3 linked regions of the Lepisosteus oculatus genome follow. Each later gene encodes a partner of the first gene's protein in a complex. Links are inferred from orthologs where the notes say so. Each region holds a gene or a part of one and is shown on either strand. Other genes may lie near its edges.

Region 1 (7,321 bases):
AGATGTTTAAAAATTGGCTCTGTCTTTCAAAGGAAAAAACAGGCTTATTCACACCACATTTTACAGTATAGGCAGACCCTCAGTGCACAGCAGTCTCATCCACTCCAGATTGTGGTGTTACCAGACACCCAGGGCACAGCAGTCTGATCCACTCCAGGTTTTAGCATTGTCACACTTGGATTAGAAGGGCTGATCAGTCGTCAGAGCCTGCAGCCTCTGTTTTAGCCACTGTCACAGGGGAGATGTGTGCTGTTAATACTGTCATGTGTCTCCAGTCATGAGACTGACAGGGAGACAGAAGAGTGTGAGAAAGGGAGAGCGAGTGATAACTGCTGGACAGGACAGTCTGACCAGGACACTGCTCTGTGGTTTTAGACTACAGGACAGTGCATGATATAAACTGCACAGACAGGGCACATATATACTGCCAGCAGCCATATCACCCTTCAACTCACAACTGGCAACCCACTGAAGCTAAGCAGGTGTGAGCCTGGTCAGTACCTGAATGGGAGACCTCCTGGGAAAAACTAAGGCTGCTGCTGGAAGAGGTGTTAGTGTGACCAGCAGGGGGCGCTCACCCTGCAGTCCATGTGGGTCTTAATGCCCCAGTATAGTGACAGGGACACTATAGTGGGGCACTATACTGTAAAAAGGCACTGTCCTTCGAATGAGAAGTAAAACCAAGGTCCTGACTCTCTATGGTCTTTAAAAATCCCAGTGTGTTTCTCCAAAAGAGTAGGGGTGTAACCCGGGTTGTCCTGGCCAAATTTCCCCCAGACCTTTACTAATCATGGCCTCAGTTCTCTGAACTATCTTCATCACTCTGATCTCCTCCCCACTGAGAGCTGGTGTGTGAGGAGCGTTCTGGCGCATCATCCAGGTGGGGCTGCACATTGGTGGGTGTGGAGCGATCCCAATTACCTGTAAAGCGCTTTGAGTGGAGTGTCCAGAAAAGCGCTATATAAGTGTAAGCAATTATTATCATTATAATTATTATATTTCGCTATGATGCCACAGAAGAACAAAGAAAAGGAATTTCAGACCAGAAGCTCAGTTAACCGAGTTCCCTGTCCTCCCCCTGTCCACAGGAGTGCCGATCGTAGTTACAGTTCTACCCAACAGCCATAAATATTTCAGCGTCTCCACGGTAACAGACACGCGATCCCCCTGCCCAGAGCTCAGGTGATGCGCGGTCCTCCTCACCTGGGGAGCACAGCCAGCCTGCACGGATCGCTGGCCCACGAGCCGCCCTGTACTGCCCCCCTCGTGTGGCTGGTGCACAGGACAGCTAGAGGAGCTGGACAAGCCCGACACCTCCTCCAGAGTAACAGCAGTCCCTGGACAACTGCACGGGCACCAATATGGGACCTGTCGGCTTCCCTCAGCACTCAGCTGCTTGTCCTCTAACAAACCAGGATTGTATCTCAGCACACCACAGCCTGGTGACATCTTTCGCCAGTCCGGGAACCCGAGTCTGAGTCTCCACTCTCAAACAGGCCATGTTGTGAGGGAACAGGCCAGGCAGTGATGGAACAGCTGTCAGAACACATAACCTCACAGTATCACTGACCCCGTTAATCGATTAAACAGTTACGTTAACCGTTAGATGATCCTAGTCCACTACACTGCAGAGCGTTGCCAAGAGCACCCAGACACACCCAGACCCCGGCTATACTCAAGACACTGGCTGAGAACGAACTCCAGTGAAGAAAGAAGCCAGAGAACACAGCGCCCAGACACTGGCAGGACCAACACACTCAGCCGCTGGGGGTTCAGAGCTGGAGTTTGGGGGTGACTGAAGAGGGGTTTGGGGTATGCGAGGGGCAGATCAGATATTTTAGCATAAGTGTGGGTGGATTGCCAACATCTGGGGTGTACATCCTCCATAGGATTCACAGTGCTTAACAAAGGTATTCAAGAATCCAGATCTATAGTGGTACACACACAGTACTGACAGTGGCACAGCACCAGGCACAGACAGTGACACACAGGGACAGAGGGTGTCACAGCATCAGGGTCAGAGAGTGACACACAGGGACAGAGAGTGTCACAGCATCAGGGTCAGAGAGTGACACACAGGGACAGAGAGTGTCACAGCATCAGGGTCAGAGAGTGACACACAGGGACAGACAGCATCACAGAGGGAAAGGATCAGAGAGTGACACACAGGAACGGAGTGTCAGAGAGTGACACAACACATCAGTGTCCGTGACACACAGGGACAGACAGCATCACAGAGGGAAAGGATCAGAGAGTGACACACAGGAACAGAGTGTCAGAGAGTGACACACTGCATCAGGGTCAGTGAATGAATGGGGACCAGGCTGAAGAACAGGTACATAGAGACCCCCGGACCGCCCAGTAGAGGAACAGAGGGGAGCTGCACGGCTGTCCCGGAAAGGCCCTGCAACAGACTCCCAGGACCGGTATTGCTCTTATTCTTGAATATACATGGCTGGCCGACACAGGAGGCTGAGTGTGGGAACGCGTACTGCCATGACGACTACAGCTCCGTCAGTGCCGAACCAGGTGCTGCCGTACCTCCCTGCCTCACCTCTCCCACCAGCGCAGCCCCACCCCGCCGGGCCGGTCGCTCACCCCGGCCCCTGCCCGTCCAGAACCGGGCCCGGAGCGGGGTACGCCCCGACACGCCAGCAGCTGTTAACGCAAAGCAGACGCGTCCTGCACTCGGACCTGTACCGAACCCCGCAGCCCGGCCTACCTCATCCTCCTTGTGATTCCTGATGCCGCGTACGAGGTCCTGGAGGTTTTTATCAAACATCCTATCGATGCTCCCTTTCACCATCTTCAGAGCCATAGCTGCAGCTCCGGGTTTCTTTCTGCGGACAGAGAAAGAGCGGCGAGGTCAGGGGGTAGGAGGACCAAGACAGGCCCGCTGGCTCGTTCACCCAGCCGAAAGAAAAGCTCCCCCAGCGGGCTGAATCTGAGCTCTGGTCCGGGAGAAAGGAGCCACGGCTCAGCTGTACGGTCCCAGGGAGTCTGGCTGCAGACCCAGGGAGAAAATGGCTGACAAAATGGCGGCGGGTCAGCTGACTGGCTGACTGCGTGTGTGCCGCGGGGGGGCTGCGGGGCCCGGCACCTCGGCGCAGTTCCGCCTCCGGCCGCTAGTGGGAGCAGCGCGCAGCCGAGTCCTAACTCAGTCCCTGTCGCTGTCTCCCGGCGGTGGGGGGGCAGTTATTTTGCGGCCGATTCCAACACAACAGTACTACATAACCGTCATCATCAAATAGGTCAGGACACGCAATATTTCCAGAAATGAAGTTTTACATTATTCATGGATGAATTAAACGATTTCCTCAATATATTTTCCGCTACAGCTCTGTCGGAGAAGCGCTTCCCGGCTGGCCCAGTGGAGGGGCTGTGCCTCGCGCTCCTTAATGCCTGTGAGAGCCCTTGGCACGCAAGCTCAATACTACTACTGCTAATAATAATCACCTTTATTACATTGCACCTTTAAAAATATCTTATTTGAGTGCTTTACGGGAAAAGTAAAAAAAAACAGTTAAAAGACGAAAACAATAACGGAAGAGAAATTGAGAAACACGAGATCCCAGCAGATGAAAGGAGCAGACACAGACATTAAATAAAAGCCTTTCTGATAACCGTGTACGTTTCAATCTTGCTGCCTGCGTTTACTGTTTTCCCCATCCTGTTATAATTAATTTAATAATATGCAATAAGCTACAGTTCATAAGACGCTTCAATTAAAGATGTATGCAACAATCTTAATGACCTCAGAACTAAACCTCGGTTCATGCAGACACAAACAAGACAAGGTCATTGGGCCTGTCGTGTCCCTCCAGCTGCTCAGCAGGTGTTTCACAGATGTTTCTTGAAAGAAGCCAGGGCACCAGCTTCAACAACATGGATGTTCCACACCCCCACAACCCTTTGCGTAAGGCAGTGCCTCGACTATTTAGTTTTAAGTGCACTTTCACATAGTTTCCACTGGCATGCTCTGGTTTGTATCCCACTGGGGGGTCTCTATAAGGGCCCTGGGCTGACTCAGCACCTTTGCAGATTTTGAATACAGAGAAGACTCTCCTGTGTTAGTATCTGCCAGTTTGACAGAACCAGAATCGAGATCACAGACCTGGGTGCCGGCAATAAACCTTTACTCGTTCCTCTGCACCCTGCGCATGCCGACACAGCTCCCTGCTTGAGCTACAGCTATAGAGGAGGAGCAGTGGTCCGGGTACAGACCCTGTGGAGCAGGGGCTGGTGTCACTGGAGTGTCCACACAGCGGCCGGGGTTTCTGTTGGTGTGGTTGTGATTCCGTTTTGTGTCCCATTCCCTGTGCTTTAAATGTCTTCCTGCCATCCATATTGTTTACACTACATAGCGCTTTTCTGGACACTCCACTCAAAGCGCTTTACAGGTAATGGGGATCCCCTCCACCACCACCCGTGTGTAGCTCCACCTGGATGATGCAACAGCAGCCATAGTGCGCCAGAACGCTCCCCACACATCAGCTATCAGTGGGGAGGAGAGCAGAGTGATGGAGCCAATTCATAGATAAGGTAGATAGAACTCTCCTTACACTTTTCTACAAATCCTTCATTGAAAGTGTCTTAACATGCTGCTTCGCTTGTTGGTTTTTATCAACATGAGTACCAACAACTGTAACATGCTGGTAAATCAGTGAAAATAAGTGTCAAAATAATCGGGAATAATCAAATCAACTTTAGCATCCTTTACAGAGGGTGACTAAGAAAGCCAGAAGCATCAGGGAGCGTGTGTCTCAACCCCTCCATTGTGAATTCACACTTCTCCCATCTGGGAGACGCCTCTGTGCCCCCAGGTGTAAAACCCAGACTCAGGAAATCTTTCATCCCCACTGCAATCACACTCTTCAATAGTGCAGTCACTACCTTGTCTCTTTTTTCTTTTCTCCTGTAACACTTCTGTATTCTCTTCCCTTTTGAGGATGTGTATTTGTCATTGTGTTGTGTTTGACTGTGCCATAAGACACATTACCCCCAGGGGACAATAAAGCTTGAATTGAATTCCCAGTGCACCTTCCAGTCCGGGAGCCCAGGCCCGAGAGGGATCTGGGGGCTCCAGCCAGTCCAGAGATGTCGCGCTCCTGCCCTCTCCTTGCCCACAGCCAGGCCAGGGGCAGTGTGGTGGGGACACTGCTGGGACCCGAGCAGGTTAAGGACACAATCAGGGTGAAGAGCCAAAGGGGCTCTGGAATGGGGAGATTAAAGAGGGGGTGCAGGCAGTCTAGATGTCACGTCTTAAACTGCGCTGCTATTTTTATATTTCGGGGGTTAGAGATTGGCGAGTGCATTTCAAACCACAATGAAAGTAAGAGTTACTGTATACATCACAAAGTTCTTGATTAAGTCCAAATCTGTCAGTTTTTCTATAAGGAATGAATTACTGAGATTTAATAACTGGTCTGAGAACCTGGGACTGCAGTTCCCCCTTACCAGCTGTAATTCTTCACAGATCTGTAGAAGGCGCCTGTCTGACAGGCTTGCAGGAGCACTGCGCTGCGGCATTTAAAACTGCACTGAGAGGCCCAGAACCGCAGCTAACAGTCCCCTGCTGAATTCAAACTGAAGATACACACACAAAATATTCATTCAGAATTTTATTTTTCAGAATTGGATTTTAAAAACTAACCAAAAAAAAAACCTGGCTTCTAAACAACAATGAAGCAAAACAATCCATTATGTTCCACATCTTAAAATTTTTTAGCCACGCCAATATTAAAAGCAACTATAATAAATTAAAGAGAAATAAAAAGAAAACTATAAAAAAAAAACAAACATGCTTACATTGTTTGGTTAAAAAAAAAATAGAAAAAAGGTTGTGTGTCAACAACACCTGAGTGAAGTCAGACTGGCTTTAAATCTCGTTTACACACACCTGCTAGAAAACAGAAATAAAGGTCATCATTTACAATGGGCTCAACCAAGGTAACTTAACCCCCCACCCCCAACTCCTGTTACCACCTCAGGACCTCCAGTCCACCAGGGGGCTCCACCTCCAGGCCCACAGCACACCGGTCCATCAATCTGGACCCAGTGAAAATGGAAAGCCTAGAGCACCAGGGCTGGAGGAGTGGGGGCACTCTGGGACACCCGCAAACAGAGGCAATTGTAGGGGGCAACAGATCCCCCAAAATCTGCACTTATCTCAGGTCTGCTCTAACCCCTCCACCCCACTCAGCTTACTCGATACAGAAGACCTGGGGCTGCCTGTGAACGCAGGCCCACGCACACCCCTCTTCTCCCCGGTGTGTGGCGAGACAGCGGGTACAGAGCCAGCTTGTACCCCAACATCCGCAGGACTGCACTCCTGTGCAACGTGTGCTGCATTTCTCCCTCTGGAAAACCAGTTCTCTCTCTTTCATTCAAGCTTTTCTGTGCAGTTTCTTCACACCTATTTCGTCCTCAGCCTAACTGGTGCCTTATAAACCTACAACAAATCAAGAGCCAACTGTGCTCTGAAGCCCCAGGTCTTTTAAAAGCAGCAACGTAAGAAAATGTAGAAAATATATAGTTGGTAAAATAGAAACTTTTCAGTCGGCCTTCTCCTCCAGGGCAGACCTGGAGCCCGGCAGTAAGGCTGAGACAGGCGTCTGCCCTCACTCTGCTGCCCAGAGGTAGACAATCAGCTTTAATTTTTTGAATAATTGTAATTATAACAATTTCAATATTTACGAGCACTGCCTGCAGTGACCTCGCCTCAAAACAATTCTGACAACTGTTCACAACAGTTTTCATTCCTTCCAAAAAATGTACAAATTGGTCAAAAATTATTCAGTCATGTCTTCTGAATGTTCAATTTTGTAAGGTCCCTGGAATATTTTTAAACTTTATATTTAACACAATCCAACAGTAGCAATGAAAGCAGATACTTATTTTTACATAGAGACACACTGGATCCTGACCCAGACGAGGAGCCTGAGCCTGTACAACTACACACACACGCACACGACACGCCCAGGACCCAGCCACACACACCTCCCGCCCGGATTTGGGGTCACCCAAATCTGTCAGGGTCACCTCAGGATTTAGATCTTAGCGGGTAAGAAAGTAAAAACCCACTTAAAATCAGCCACAGACGAAAGTCTGTCTTTCATAACTTCTTGGAAGGACCCAGGCCACTATCTGCAGATGTGTAACCAGAAGCCCCCAGTGGGGCGTGACCCTGCCTGTGAGAGGGCAGGTCAAGTGGTCCGCTGTCCCTGTTGAACTGCAGACAAGTGGAGCCTTACAGGTACGCTGCTCGCAGGTTCAAACGTGCAGACACCCGAGTCTTAGAGACAGTGCATTAGTGCCTCTC
Region 2 (7,422 bases), on another chromosome or scaffold:
GTTGTTCTAACCATGTTCCACAAGAATTCCACTGTAAGCAGAAGCAACAGTAGCATAATCCAGCCTGGTTACAATTGTACTGAGGGAAATGTGTCTAAAGAGTTTTCACTTGGACCTAAAACCAAGAATGCTTATCTATCTATCTAAGGAAACTTCAGAGACAATTATGGAATAAAATGGCAAAAACAAAGCATTCCTAATAATGAAACATTTATAATAATGTAATGTATAATAATGTTTCTTTATTAGCCCTATACAATTTCTTGCATTAGGAATTTGTCTTTTCGCATACCCCAGCTTTTCTCCATGGAGACACAGACACACAGACACAGGGAGAGAAGCTTGGGGTCAGAGCGCCCCTGGAGCAGTTAGGGTTAAGGGCCTTGCTCAGGGGCCCAACGGAGTAGGATTCCTCTGCCGGCCACGGGATTTGAACCGGCAACCTTCCAGTCACAGGCGCAGATCCTTAGCCACAGAGCCACCGCTCTGCCCCGTATACTATTTATACTAGTATACTTATCAAAAGTAATAGTATACAAAAGCAGCATTGTACACGTATGTATACTGAGACCATGACTGTTATTTTCTTATGGCATACTATATCTGACTAATTAATGATAATGATAATGAATGCAAGCTACAAAGGGAAAAATATTTCTGCATTAAGTATTGTGTTCCATCAAGAGTTTACTTTTTCAAGACCACCAGTATTTCCACAGTATGGATGAAAGCATCTGAAAAACACACTTTTAGGTTTTTTGCCACCTTGTAAAAACAAAAAAATAACATATACTATCAGGAACTGTTGATGGCAAATGATGTGCTTATTACTGCATGAATAAATTCTGCACATCCATACATACTAGACAGTGTTGGATTCTGAACAACTCACTGATCACAGGATTAATTCAATCACCCCTCTTTCACAGGTCTTCTTGTAGTTGTTACATTTCCTTAATTCACATTCCAAAAGGGGCCTTTTATTGCCAACTCCAGCTCTAGCACAAGAGTAAAATACCCCTATGTCTTGTTTAAGAAATAAATATCAGATAAGTAGAACTAAAAACTAGATAACTTGTTTAGTGATGTTACCCCACAGAAATTCTGCTTTTTCAGTTATGCAACACAGATGTCTGCGAGTTATAACTGGTTTGTTATGAAGAATGCTTCATGGCCGGCTATACAGCCCAGTGCTACGTTTAGGTAGATGTAGACCAAAATGTCAGATTTTTTTTATAGCATGGAATTCAAGTGATAAAACAAGATGTCGGAAGCTTGTGGGGTGTCCTGGTCTTGCACCTCTTCCCAATATATTTTTCTGAACTGACAAGTTGACAGCATTTTACAAGCAATCAGAAGATTGTGCATCCTACAAAAGCTTAAAAAATGGAGGCTATTAAATTAATTCATTGACAAGCTACCCAAAAATACACCGTCAAAAAAAGGTTTATAGCAAAAAAGTTGAATATACCCCATGGACTGTATGAAGTAGGCTAAACAACTTGAAATGTTAATTCAATTATTTCCAGCTAAACATCTCTCCATGTTAAGGACTATACTTTCATGTGAAGATGGTACAGCTGTGGGTGAGGGCATTTGCATTCCCCAATGATGGTAAAAATCAGTTAGCTGAAATAACCACCCACCTAACAGTGAGGTCATTTCAGATGTTTCAACACAGCTCCACATAGCTGCACAAGGAAAAAACACCTCAACAAGTTAGGGCATGGAAGAAATTAACGTGGTGTCAGGTCTGAAGATGTCTTAGGGAAAGTGCACTAAGGAAAGGAGGCACGTCTTCACACAAATAGTGGTGGGACAAGGTAGCGAGCTATGTTGTTACAGCTGCTGCCTTGGCTTCTTTTAAGAAACAGCTGGATGAGATCCTCCAATGAACTCCTAACATATGTACAGGCTAGATAAGCCGAAAGACTTCATTTTAAACCTCTCACACGCTTATTTGCTATTGTCATCCTATTAAGGAAATAAAACAGCTAGCATATTGTTCACACTCTCAAATTGCTAGGCCTTTGAAAGTGATCACGGAATGTTCCACTCTGTGTGTGTGTGTGGGGGGGGGGACTCTGAAAAATAAAAAAAAGACTTCAATGGAAATGGAAGAACGCTGGCGGTAACTTAATAGTACTGGCAAATGATCAGTGATAAGCAAAATACGTTATTTCAAAACCGCGCCCAGGTTTCTATGCTGAGATCTTGACTTGCCTGAAGCTTATTTTAGCCAGGGGAAGGCAATGCGATAGGAACAACCACGACTGTAGCCTGTAGAGAACGAAACGATGGTTTTGCGATGCTGGGCCAGGAGTCGGGCTTGCTAGCCTCCTGCACTGCCCAGCGCTCGCGCTGCCTCCAAGGGCTCACCAAGGTTCCGGTTCCGCGTGCTGACGTTCCGCAGTCCCACAAAGGAACAGGACCGTCTTAACACAACGGCTGCAAATTACGCGGCTTCCCCAAACCCATTACTAAACTGCTAAATCCCCCTCCAATGCACTTTACATGCATCCAATTTGAAGATCATTATTACAGTCACAAACACTACATTTTCCTGAAAACACAGAGGAGGCAGCCGAGGAGACTCGGGCCTAATGACCATGGACATCGTCTCACAAGGAAAACAGTTGCAATAACTTCGGCCGATTTCAGTTTTACAGTTGAATCCAGCCGGGATTGTTTCCTGGGAAAAACGCATTTTTGTTGTTCCGTACCATGTTACTGTGAGCATTATCACAGCAAGACAGCCGTAAAACACCTTGAGAAGAAAAGGCCAATCGGCCGTTTTCTCCTTATCGCGTCCGTCCTGAAAACCGGCCCGGTGTTACTGTCAAATTTGAAACCTTGCGACTGCCCGCCCACGTACTTCTCCCGAGTTTCAGCTGGCTTGTGCTCTCAAACGTATGTAATATATGGGATTTTTCATGTCATACCATTAAAAATTAAGTAAATTCACCATCCACCTTACCACCACACAGCACCGCTCGCTTCCTCTTCAAGGCGTTCCCACAAGATGGCGGCTCCCTGTGGCCACGTCAGTGCACCGGATCTTCTTGGGGGGAGAGGAAAAATTTAGCAAATACACCACCCCCTCGAGAGCAGCTCTCGGAAACCGGGAAAACGCGGCGGCGTGGAGGACTTACTGCACGAGTTGGAGGGTGTCCAGACCAAGACTGATATGCCAGTTTGTTTAGCATCGTGTCTGTCAGTTTAGCAAAGATCACATTTGGTAAATTGCTTTGACTGGTAAATGTTTTCTAGGCTAATAGTACATTATGAAACGTGTATGTTCTATTAATTCATTTTTTATTAATGGAACACAAGTCAAATAATATCAAATAATGATAGCTGATGTGTGGTGAGCGTTCTGGCGCACTATGGCTGCCGTCGCATCATCCAGGTGGATGCTGCACATTGGTGGTGGAGGGGCGTCCCCATTACCTGTAAAGTGCTTTGAGTGGAGTGTCCAGAAAAGCGCTATATAAGTGTAAGCAATTATGATTAATTATTATTATTAAGTAATTCTTCGATGTCCCGAATGCTACCAGAATAACCGAATGACTGTTATAGTTCTAATTCAATAATATATGAACTACTGAATTCTTGCAAGACCAAAAACGTTCTATTCTTTTTCTTGAGTATACATTGTTATATGTGTTTGTGTATTGTAAATACTATTCCAAATACAAATACAATGACTCCCCCCCTCCTTGACTCGCAAAACATCTGCAACAATTTAAAGGGGGCAAACTAGTTTTATTTTTTATTTTTATTTTTTGAATATAGTTTTATTTATTCTATAGTGTCAGAAGCTTTTCTACATGTAGTTCAAATCATTGTTCAGTCAATTCCAGTTAATTGAGTTCCGTTTTTGATTAGTATAACTCAGAAGATCTGTTTGAAGGTTTATAGTCAGCTATCACATACTATCTCATCAGTAGGAAGACATGTGTTTCTTGCCAGACAACATGATGCTGCTGACCTACAATTACAGTACTTATTCTTTGAAACATTGCAAAAATAGAAAAAACGATTAAGGTGAAGAAACCATGCCTTTCAACTTGCTATCCTTTGTCACCTGACAGACCATAGAAATCTCCTACATCTGGCTTTCTATTTCTTTTCTGTCTTCTTCTGTACATTTCCGATGTAAATTTAAATTGGAAACCATTGGGAATAGACAAAACTTAACTTAAAATCTCATTGGTCTATGATTTCAAGATGATAGTTTTTACCATCTATCACATCATTTTGTTAACCGTTGTTGAACAGTTTTTGCAGGGACACGCAGAAACACTTTCATCACCCTGCAGCCTAAGCACCACTCTGGCATGGTTCAGGGAAATATAATCAATGAGGTGTAAGAAACAAGTCACATGCTCCAGTAGCTTCAGAAACTAGTATATTACAGACTGAAAAATGGCTGGAACAATTGGATTGCTATATTGCACAGTTACAATTGTATAAACCCTGACGTACTTACACCCAGACACTTGGAAACATCTTTCAGTTGTTAGTGTCTGTGAGAAAACCCACTACTTTGGCAAACAGCTCCTTCACTTTAGGAAGTGGGTAAGCGTGTGCTTCCATACAGCAACCCACTGTGATTTTATAACATCTGCAGTTCTGCAATGATACCTCTGCTTTTAGCATTACTGCATCGGGGACTTTTCTCAGGGCGTATGGTAAACGCTTTGCCTTGTAAAAGTGGGATTGCAGTCTGACTAAAAACATACTCCATCTTACATTTCTCCAGGGTGTGTTCTACTGTCATCAGGTATTTTACTCCCAGTCTAAATGAATGGGCGTTAACCTGACTCTTTCTGGCAAAGGCTGATGGGATTATGGAAGAAGCTCCATGTTGTTAAAGACCATACTCTGGCTTCTTTCAAGAAACAACTGGCCGATCATTTAACTACGAATTTCTCTAGATCTGGACTTGATATAGATGGGCAGAATGGACTCCTTGTGTTCTAATATTGGATTGTTTCCTTTTTCAACCAATAAACTAAAGCAAATCGGATTATAAAATACTGGCACACCAAGCTTCCCAACTAGAGTAATTTTCTCTCCCAAATTTATTCTCAGCTATAAAGATGTCTACTCTGAAACGCAGGTGTGCTAAACATTTAAAGTAAAGTGTTTCTGGCAGCTCCTATATCAACTTGCATTTCAAATAGGATTCCCTAAAGGCTCACTTGCACTTTTATTCCCATTTCATTGTCACTCACAGAAAAACTATACACACCCTGAGACTTGCATTAGCCACCAGTGCTTTCTTTATTCCTTTCTGCAATGAGCATTTCTGCATCTGTGAATTCTGCATGCTTTCTGTACCAATGCAGCTTTAATATCTATAACGGGTGTTTGATAAAAGAAATCTATAGTGGTAAAAGGTATGGTGTGAATGCTTTTGTATGTATATTTTATTTTAAATAAGCATTTTTTATAAATAACATTTTTCATAGGCTAAAACAAAAACTTTTGAAAATGAATCATAAATAAAAAATAAAACAGACCTTTCATTTGAGGTGTAGTGAAAGATTCCATTTGAATGTTTTGTTTAATTTTGTAAGGGAATAATCACCATCAACTGTGAAAAAGAATCCAGCTCATTTTTGTGCATACTTTCCATCCAGTCTTTATTTAATATATATTTACAATTGCTTTTGTATCTCCTATTTTAAAATATTTCTGTTCATTAGAATCCATCAGATTTTAATGACTCTTTCCATAATGACATTAATTATCCTGTAAGCTAATGATCCTTATTTTTATGAGATAATTCATTTTAAATTGCATAACTTTGTTTTTTTTATAACATAAAAGCCATGCCAAAAACCCTGTTGGGCATTCACTTGATTAAAAATACTTTCATTGAAATGTTTTCATAGATTTATTGTTTTCATTTATGGCATCAATTTTTGTTTCATGTACTTTTTTTAAATGCCATATATTATGCAGTGACATTTTTATCTGTGAAGAATACAAGGTGGTAAGGTATTTATTTAGGTGATTGTGTGTGTTTGGATTTTTATGATTAAGTAATTATACTCCTGAATGATAAGATTTAAATGCCAAGAGATTCTGTATCGCATTACATTTCAAAACATTTTCAGACAAAGGTTTGATTTTAACTGACCCCGGAACAATTTTAAATATTGGTTTTAATATGTTTAATTAAATATAGGTATGTGAACATAAGTTATAAATATAAAATGTATGGGGAAAATAACTCCTTCTTGGCATCAGATGTGTTTGAACATTGAATTAAACTGTAAAGTGGCTTGAAATGAAGAAAATGTATAAATTATAGTCTTTAGTGATCCTTGATGATCTTTTGCTTAACAACTTAAACTGTTAAACTTTGCTTAACTTAACAAACTTCTGTTACACTGCTGAGTTTAAGTTAAGAGTGACTAACTTTGAATATACTAAATTGAAGAACGTACTGAAAAATAATTGTTCGTTTTTAGAGGTTGGCAACTCAAGAGGGATCCGTAAAGCTATGGATTTGTGGACACCTGTTTTTTAACTTGAGTTGCTGCTTGAGAAATAATTTGGACAACAGATGGATTTCCAACTTAATTAATATAATGTCAGACGCTGAGAACAATAGGGTACCTCTCCGATCTCTCATCTACCCCAAGTGCCCAAGTTGTTAAATCAATTTCTCCATATCTTTCAGTTTAACTTCAAGTTTTTAATGACAATGATGTTAAAGTTCCGAAGTTAAGTGGTAGTTTATTACTCTATTGCATTGCCCTAAAAATGTATATTGGATGTTTTTGTTAATTTCCAAACAACTGAAATTTAGAGGTTTGCAACCATGAGTGGTTCATGGAATAAATATTTAAGGTGAAAAGGCACAAAAGGTGTGTTGATTCAAATGTTAATCAAAACAGTATATAAATTGATCAGTTAGTGGATGGCTGTAAACACTGTTTAGGGTTTGGTGTGGTAAATGAAAAAAAAAGGTGATTAAATTACCTATATTATACCTAAATTACCTAAATATACCTATAGATATATTTAGCAATTATTTTTACACTTATATTTTTACACTTCATTTTAACCTTATATGCAGAAATCAAGTAAAATGTACAGTACCCCCCAATGGTATACATTAAAAGTAACTTTTCATGACGGTTATTAAAAAATGAAATACTTTAAGATAATATTTTGTGCTTATCTAATTCGGTTTATGTAAAATCCCTGATTAGATGTCCAAATCATTTTCACAAAATTAGAGATTGAGATTTTCTGTTGAATGTACGTTGTTGAATATATTACAAGGAGTGTCTAAATTTTCCACCAAAGTAACAGTGTTCTCTGATATTTTAGTCAAGGAAGTGTTGCTATGCCAGTGTTGCACAGAACAAAATCAAGATGAAATTTTCCTATTCCAAGAAA
Region 3 (7,668 bases), on another chromosome or scaffold:
CAGCTTTCTTTTTGTTCATTCTGTAACAATCTGCCACTCATCTACTATCGAGAAGTCACCTCTGTCACGGTGTCCGAATTCCTATAATTTAAATCACCTGATTCCTGCATTCTCCCTTTCCTTTCCTAAGATTACCACACAAATTAACACATCTAATGAAGGAACATCATTTAAAAGCAGCGACCATACAAACTACAGTTCTTACACAATAAACCACACCTCTTACATAACATATGAATTAATTTTAAACCACAAAAACAGGCTACGGGTTTTAAACTCAAATGATTTACTTCACATACACGTAACACTTAGCCTCCCTCCTTCACCATTTTTAAATAGTTTGACTCAGGATTCAGTAATAGTCAACTATCCAACAGTTATATTTTGTGTAGGACAGTAAGGTCTGGCAACACACCATCAACATAAAGTATCCCCAAGCATTATTGCATAAGCATAAATTACAGCTGAAGTAGTACACTGAAATGGCACAGGAAAAGAGGAGAACATTGTCCCTGATTTGCTAGTCTGGTCCAAAAAAACTAAGATGCATCTGTAAGTACTTTCTGTAAATTTTCAATACCCACAGTCCGGGTTTTTCATGAGCTAACATAAAAAATGTACAGGATGTCGGACGTATTACATCATTTTTTTATTTTTGGGCTTCATTCATATAGTAGGAAACTGGGCACAAATTTTGTCCCATGTTAAAATACTTTTTATTATCAGTTTATCTTCTTCTCAGTGGCTTACATTTAAAATAACTCTACAGGATAATCCTTCGGCACTTCTGAACACTAATTTCCTGTGAATGTAGTATCTCATTACGTTATTAACGTAAGATGGGTGTGCATACGTTTCACGCTGCCTGCATCACATGGAAGAGAAAAAAAGCACCACATGATTTTGGTGATGCTGACAAGATTAACACTGAATGTCAGCTGATGTAATCTGCAGATCTACTCCCTAAAACAAATACCTATTTATTCATGTTAAACATTATAAAAAATGTTAAGTGTATCTAATAACTGAAGAAAAAAAATGTTTGCATTTCTGTACTGAACTGTGCAACAAGGAACTCCGACACTAGAGTCAAGAATTTACTAAGTAACCATTCGTTTTGTTTACAAAATACCTAAATGGACAACACGTGTACAGTATATGTTATTTTGTTATTTTAATGTTTATCAATAAATTACAGCAAAAAAAGAACAGATAGTTAAAATTAAAACCTTTGTATTCACAGCTTTTTGTGCCTCTGACATTGAGCTGAAAAGACTTAAAATAGTTACTTCACTGGGGAAATACTTTTGGTAAACTAAATCTTAAAGCATACCTTGTTTAAAAACCTCAACATGCTTGCATGAGTAAATGACACATCACAGAGGCTAAAGCAGCCAAAACAAAATCTTGGTTACTTTAACTCTTTTAATCGGTTTGACTATCAAGGATATATTCCTCAAAGTTCAAACAAATCCTACTTCTAAAATGAATTTGAATGTATTATTGCATTATAAATGGATAATGTATTATAAAATAGATTGTTTTCAAAGATGACTACAATAGCATAAATTGACACAGACAGACTGTATATATTTTCAAACCTTTAGGATTATAGGTGAGATATGCTATACTGTACATCTAATGTAACTGAAAACTTGCCAAAATCATCTGCTTACAATGCATCAACTGTTCCATTTACTGTACTAGCCACTACAATGTTAAATTACAACCACCTGTCTTACTGCAGAGATTGCAAAGCACATCAGAAAGTTTCAAGACTGCATTATGAAAGAAAGAGAAATGTCATTAGAGACTTGCGCTGGGACAGCTGTAGAAGAGACTGACTTCAAACCACATGAATGCTTCACTGCTGCCTTTACAGAGGACAATGCATTGTCCCTTAACACACTATTTGACTGGATCAAGTACAACTTGGCATGCACAATTAAAAAGCTTCATATTTATCTAGTAATTTAGCTATGTGTAGTGAAATAACCATGTACAAATCCATTACTAGATTTACAAAACCACTTTTTTTGTGAAGAAATTACTAAGGCATCTATAGAAATGAAGATTGCACAATTCAGTATTCCCATCCAAAGAAGTCTGCAAAGCTCTCCAAAACAGCTTCAATACAGCAGTTTATATTGGTCAGCATTCTATTTAGAAGCCTATATATATTTTATATGTATAAAGAAGCCAAGTTTATGTGTATATTTAAAGCCAATAGTTGAGACTATTTCAATTTAACAGATAATTTGCTAAATAAATTTAGCCTTTATTTGGAATCAAATCATGTTCCCTGCATCCCTCAGGGGTCTGAAGTCTTTTAACAGATCAGTTGCTTAATTAATCAATAAAGTACATGTGATCTATAAAACTAACTGGATTATTGCTCTCCAGGAGCAAAACAGTATTATTCTAGTGGTGCTCAGAGGCTGACAGCTCCAGATTGTCTTGAATCTGATGGCTTTCATGCTGATAGCATATTCAAATTAACTCGCCAGCACTTAAATTGAACATTTTTTGGAAAATATACCAGTGCAGTATTGAGCTAGAGTGAAATAGAAAAAGGACTGTATCAATAAAATAAAAAAAACAACTCCTAAGCAAAGTGGTTTACTTGATTTGCCAGATACTAATGTAGTTTGTAACAGCGGACAGAAAAAAACACGTACAGTACTGACACAAAAAATGAAAAACATTCCGTTTTCAGCGTGATCATAAGTTTATATTTCTATGTAAAACATTCCCGTCAGGGACTTCATTGAAAACTTCAGCTCCAGTCACACATTGATGACAGTACACACATTCAGCTATACTCACATAGTGTTCGTAAAATTTGGAAAGCCGGGGTTTGCCATGGTTGTTAAATATTAGGATGGCTTTGATCATGGTTTCACCAAAAACGTATCAGAAGCTGCGTTCTGACGGTCAGTCTGAGAACTAGGAGATAACAACTACTCAGATTCCGTTTTATTAAAGACCCAATTCCACCTGAACATCAGCTGCAAATCCTCCCCCGAATCACAAAGCGGAAACATTCCACGTCAAAGCATTCATTCCTCATCGCCGCTACAGAAGCCGAAGAAGGTCAAACTGTGTGGCTGGGCATAAATCTGATCGACACAGACGAGCGATGAATTAGACGTTTATTTTTTTCCAACGTTTATTGAACATCAAATAACACAAACAAAGGAGAAAAGAAATCCCAAAAAAGTTACTTGATTAAAAAAACAGATCAATTTTAGACTATTTTAAATCTGAACACGTTCAGTTAAAAATGTTACATACTGTACATCAATTTGTTTTGACCTTGTTATTTTTTTTAAGTTTTCAACAGTTTAAAAAAATAGACGTTTATGGATTGAAACGTTTAGAAGGAACAACGTCAGAAATATCACCAATTAGGGAAGGCGGTTCTTCCCATCAATCTTACTTGGTTCTATTTCTCTAATCCCACAGCCAATACTGAAATGTCAAACCTAACCAGTGTTTCTAGGAGGTGGGAAGATATCAGAACACCTGTAGAAAACCCACATGAATATGAGTAGAACAAGCAAATACCGTACAGATGGTGCACCAGTCTGGAAGAGAACATAAAATGCTATGAGGCAATAATGATAAAGGCCATGCCAGTATGTTATACTCTGATTAAAATTAATATAGATGATAGCTGTTTTCTTGTGAAAGTAGCCCTGAAACCCTTCAGCATTTGTTTTGCTTATGTCCTATTGTAAAAACCTTCTGGATTGATTTGCAGACTTATTAAAATATTAAAATAAAGGCTAATTTCGATATTATTTTTAAAGAAATAGATGTTATGTTGAACTTCAATCCCATTGGAAATAAAATGAAAATTATGTTTGAAATGGACTTAATTATTATACTGGCATGCTATTATATACATAAAGTGAAATGGTCTGGGAAGAGTATTTTAAAATAGAGATAAGGGTGTATTTGCAGACTGTAATATCAGTGTAATATTTAATATCAAATAAAAATAATAATAACTGTATAAAAATAATAGTTATAAGTTGTTTTGAAATACTGTAAATTAGAATCAAGAATTATAAGAAAAAGTCATATATGAAAGAATTAAATATCCACATGTTCATGTTACATGTTCCACAAAGTATTAGCCTGTTTCTAATCTGAACAAATTTATAATAGGGACATAGGATAAACATTGTGTTTTAGGGGACCATACTTGTAAGATGTCTGGGGGCAAAATCCCATGAAAAAAACAGGTATCCTATTTTTGTGAAATACTGTTGCAAAAAGTTCTACACAGTTTCACCTGTGCACTTTAGGAAAAGGAAGATTCACTAATGCAAAATGAAAAAAATATCCAGTACTTGTTCTCTGGCTATTCAACTCTATTTTACAGGTATTTGATTTAATAAAATGATAAAACACTTTAGAAAAAGGACATCCAAAATATGTTGACATACAAGCTGTTAAAAATTAAACAACTGGAAAGCATAACTTAATTGCTTGCAATGTACACAATTTTTATCTAGTGTAATCAAAAGCATTGTTATAAATATTTAGGATATTTTATAAATATTTAAGATTATAAAAGGGCCTGATCTTATATCATTTCTTATGATTGCAATACATTAGGTATAAAAGTACACTCTGTAATGTTCAGTTCCTTTAAAGAGTCTTGCTTCTTCCCTGGAGTGTTAAATCATAACTACAGTACGTTTCAAAACAGCACTGAAAATAGTAGCTCGATCAGTAGGGCCACTTGAGTCACACTTCAGTCTTACTGGAAGAGGTCCACATCCTCATGACTAGTGAAAAGTATCATTGAGCTAAACTTGTTTAATCAGAAGAATAAGGGGTGTTCCTATTGACTGATCGTCAATGTAAAGGAAGAAAATGTGATTGCGCAGCATGGATATGGATTGATTACATGGAATTTCCATAACCAACTCAAACAAGGACTGATAACACCACAAAATGATAACATACTCCATCCATCCATTTTCTTACTATTGACTGCTAGTGGCCATATCAACCTGCAACTCACAACTGGCAACCCATTGAAGCTAAGCAGGTGTGAGCCTGGTCAGTACATGGTGTTGTTATTGCTTGAGATACAAGCTAACTAAGTTTACTCCATCATAGAGAATTTACTTGCTGTGTTTACTTGCTAAAATGTTGTCATGTGTTCACACTCTCTTTTTGGCACTATTTATGTATTATAACTGTAAAGCAAAACCAGTTTTGTAATAGAAAATTACACTCAGGGATTGTTTTTCTGAATATGACGTAAAGAGAATCAAACACCCAGAAAAGGATCAAACTTCCATGTTTTAAAGTCATGTTTTAAACCTCTTTGTGCAATAAGACTTTTTTCTATACAAGTACAATATCGGAATGCATTTTTAAAAAAGAAATTTCAATATATTTTAGTTATTTTTTAATAACTATAATTACTTTTGTGGGACTTGGGGCAGTTTCAATATCAACCATAATTTCATCACACCCTGTCACAGATATTCTGGCTGTGCTAGGGCCGTTTAGCCAGTAATTCCAGCAATTTAGGGATTTTTCTCTTCAGAAAATGTTTAGCACAGAAATACTTAGCGTGCAAAGTAGAAGAATATAATGACAGTAAGGATTTTTCCTCCAGTTTTAAAGTGGTTGTGTTCGAAGTCAGGGTATTTGAGAAAATTCCGTTTAAGTGAGTATATTTGGGCAGGTAATCATTAAATTAGTTTAATTTAAAACAATCGGGGTTGTGCGTCAAACAACATGGCGACCTCATCCTTGTCTTAATTTCGATCACCCTTTCAAAATCTACGCAGGTTTGAAAAGCTGCTGACGAGAACCGATTTTCTTCTTTTCTCCACTAGATGAGGCTAATAGATTTTAAAATGGTTTATTAAAAGGGAAATAATAGTGGACAATGCGAAACAAGATGACATTGATAATGGGACGAGCCCGTTAAAAGCTAATAAACATCACTTCAAATTCATTTGTTGGAGGTATATATTTTTAAATCGTACTTTCCCAGAGCATTAAGATGTGAAATTCGGGGCATTTGTAATAAAACGAATTTAGTATATCTCTATTGTGTATATTCATGAAATCATGGCGATGAAATTGCGTGTAAAAAAGAGGAGGAGGTTGTTGATAAACTACATGTCCCCCTGTCACATTTTCCTATTTCAAAAACAATTTTAAAATGCATATTTAAGCACCTCCTAAAACTGTTTGTCTTCGAAATGAAAATGCGGGGAATGGGAAAACACTCGAGCCAAAGACCGCAGATTATATGTAATTTTAACCGAGTACAATTTAGAACAGCGATTTTCAATTCAGGCTTTCATTACCCTGTGTCAGCTGATTTTTAAGTTCCATCCTTAACTGAAATTACTAAAAATTGATGGCTTAGAGCTTTATTTCATTGCTAAAAATGCCTTCAATTTGCTCACTATGTTTTACAATATATGTGAAATAAACTTTACTGGCCATTCCAGAACTGAAAATAATTTCAAAGGCATTAACTAGTACATCCACCCACTTTTTAACAGTTTTATCTACAGATAACACGGTCGCAGGGGAGACAGAGCCTACCCGGCAAGCCATGGGCGCAAGGTGGGAAGCATCTTGGACAGGATGCCAGTCCATCGCAGGGCAGACAGAAATGCAAACATGCACACAGCCACATCAGGCCATTTTCCAGAAAAAAAAGTACATTAGTGCTTAAATTTGGGGATTCAATTAAAGACTTAAGAGCTCAAGTAGAAAAACCACCAGCTGCTGAAGTAAAGAGAATCAGAACTAGGAAGGCCTAATGTCTCAAGATTGGTACTTCCCAGTGTAAACAATAAATATGATAAACTGATATATTTTAACCTTTCCTTACCACACTTCAATAATGGTTCCCTTTGCCACCAAATGACTTGCTCTGAAATTCATATGAGTAAGTACAGTTTGTTATAAGCAAGTAGCAAAAGCATACTAAAAATATAAGATGGAAAAACTATTTCAGTGTTTATGTTAAAACGCAATTTTATCTTGTAGACAATGTGTAAAAGAAATAGTAAATGTTAGGATCAGTGTTCTGGAAATTTACTTTTAAAAAGTAATCCATTACAGGTACAGGATACTTGTGTGAAGGATTGTTTTTTAACAAGAAATCGGGGAAAAGTTATTTTAAGAAGTATTGAATTGTTTTACATAGTAATTATTTGCATGTTGCATAGATCTCTAAAACAGGTGACTTTAAAAACTTTCGTATTCCATCCCTTACACAATTAAATGAGTCAGGTCATTTCTTGGCCCAGTCAGCTGGATATTGACATTTCTTCCCCAGTTTGCTGACATGATGACCCTTCCTTTATCCAACCTGATCAGGATAAAAACTTTGCACAAGTTCCCCTGGAGAGCTGATGGCTGCAGTGACATTTCTATTCACACAGTTGCCTTGGGTCTGGTGAAGTCTTTTGGGGAACAATGGCAGGTAAGGAACACCCACCTAGTTATATGTGGAGCTGCAACAAAGAGAGACGCAATACTCAACATTCAAAGTAGAGCACCTACAGAAGCTATTATAAATATAACAATAAATAATCCTTAAAATTATGTAGCGCTTTTCTGGACACTCCACTCAAAGCACTTTACAGGTAATGGGGACTCCCCTCCACCACC

What was found. Proteins that work in one complex are often made in the same cells at the same time.
Region 2: the proteins of ap3d1 (region 1) and arf1 are in contact, whole or in part, in a cryo-EM structure (PDB 9C5B), measured with the Homo sapiens proteins. The link is inferred for Lepisosteus oculatus from reciprocal best matches to the Homo sapiens genes AP3D1 and ARF1. Residues at the interface, in NP_003929.4 of Homo sapiens: Lys48, Asp50, Phe77, Ile80, Glu81, Ser84, Asp107, Met110, Leu111, Thr112, Thr113, Asn114, Gln115, Arg117, Lys118; in NP_001019397.1 of Homo sapiens: Tyr35, Ile46, Pro47, Thr48, Ile49, Gly50, Phe51, Asn52, Val53, Glu54, Trp66, Lys73, Ile74, Leu77, His80, Tyr81, Gln83, Asn84.
Region 3: the proteins of ap3d1 (region 1) and ap3s1 are in contact, whole or in part, in a cryo-EM structure (PDB 9C5C), measured with the Homo sapiens proteins. The link is inferred for Lepisosteus oculatus from reciprocal best matches to the Homo sapiens genes AP3D1 and AP3S1. Residues at the interface, in NP_003929.4 of Homo sapiens: Leu18, Gln19, Val22, Arg26, Cys60, Thr63, Tyr64, Gln66, Met67, Leu68, Gly69, Tyr70, Asp71, Ile72, Ser73, Lys87, Phe88, Thr89, Arg92, Ile93, Leu96, Gln100, His103, Tyr126, Leu132, Thr133, Ser136, Tyr161, Lys164, Lys165; in NP_001275.1 of Homo sapiens: Met1, Lys13, Pro14, Arg15, Leu16, Ser17, Lys18, Phe19, Pro22, Tyr23, Glu25, Asp26, Gln28, Gln29, Arg42, Asp43, Glu44, Asn45, Val46, Cys47, Asn48, Phe49, Ser80, Glu81, Ser82, Glu83, Leu84, Gly85, Leu87, Asp88.

The regions. Positions count from the first base shown.
Region 1 is NC_090724.1:9,540,382-9,547,702, forward strand, and holds the start of ap3d1 (AP-3 complex subunit delta-1), read right to left. Parts: upstream 3,108-7,321; 5' UTR 2,819-3,107; coding exon 2,723-2,818; intron 1-2,722. UniProt on the Homo sapiens protein: Part of the AP-3 complex, an adaptor-related complex which is not clathrin-associated. The complex is associated with the Golgi region as well as more peripheral structures.
Region 2 is NC_090701.1:29,758,695-29,766,116, forward strand, and holds the start of arf1 (ADP-ribosylation factor 1), read right to left. Parts: upstream 3,064-7,422; 5' UTR 2,978-3,063; exon of another isoform or gene 2,943-2,977; intron 1-2,942. UniProt on the Homo sapiens protein: Small GTPase involved in protein trafficking between different compartments. Modulates vesicle budding and uncoating within the Golgi complex. In its GTP-bound form, triggers the recruitment of coatomer proteins to the Golgi membrane.
Region 3 is NC_090698.1:54,096,835-54,104,502, forward strand, and holds the start of ap3s1 (AP-3 complex subunit sigma-1), read right to left. Parts: upstream 3,064-7,668; 5' UTR 2,896-3,063; coding exon 2,827-2,895; intron 1-2,826. UniProt on the Homo sapiens protein: Part of the AP-3 complex, an adaptor-related complex which is not clathrin-associated. The complex is associated with the Golgi region as well as more peripheral structures.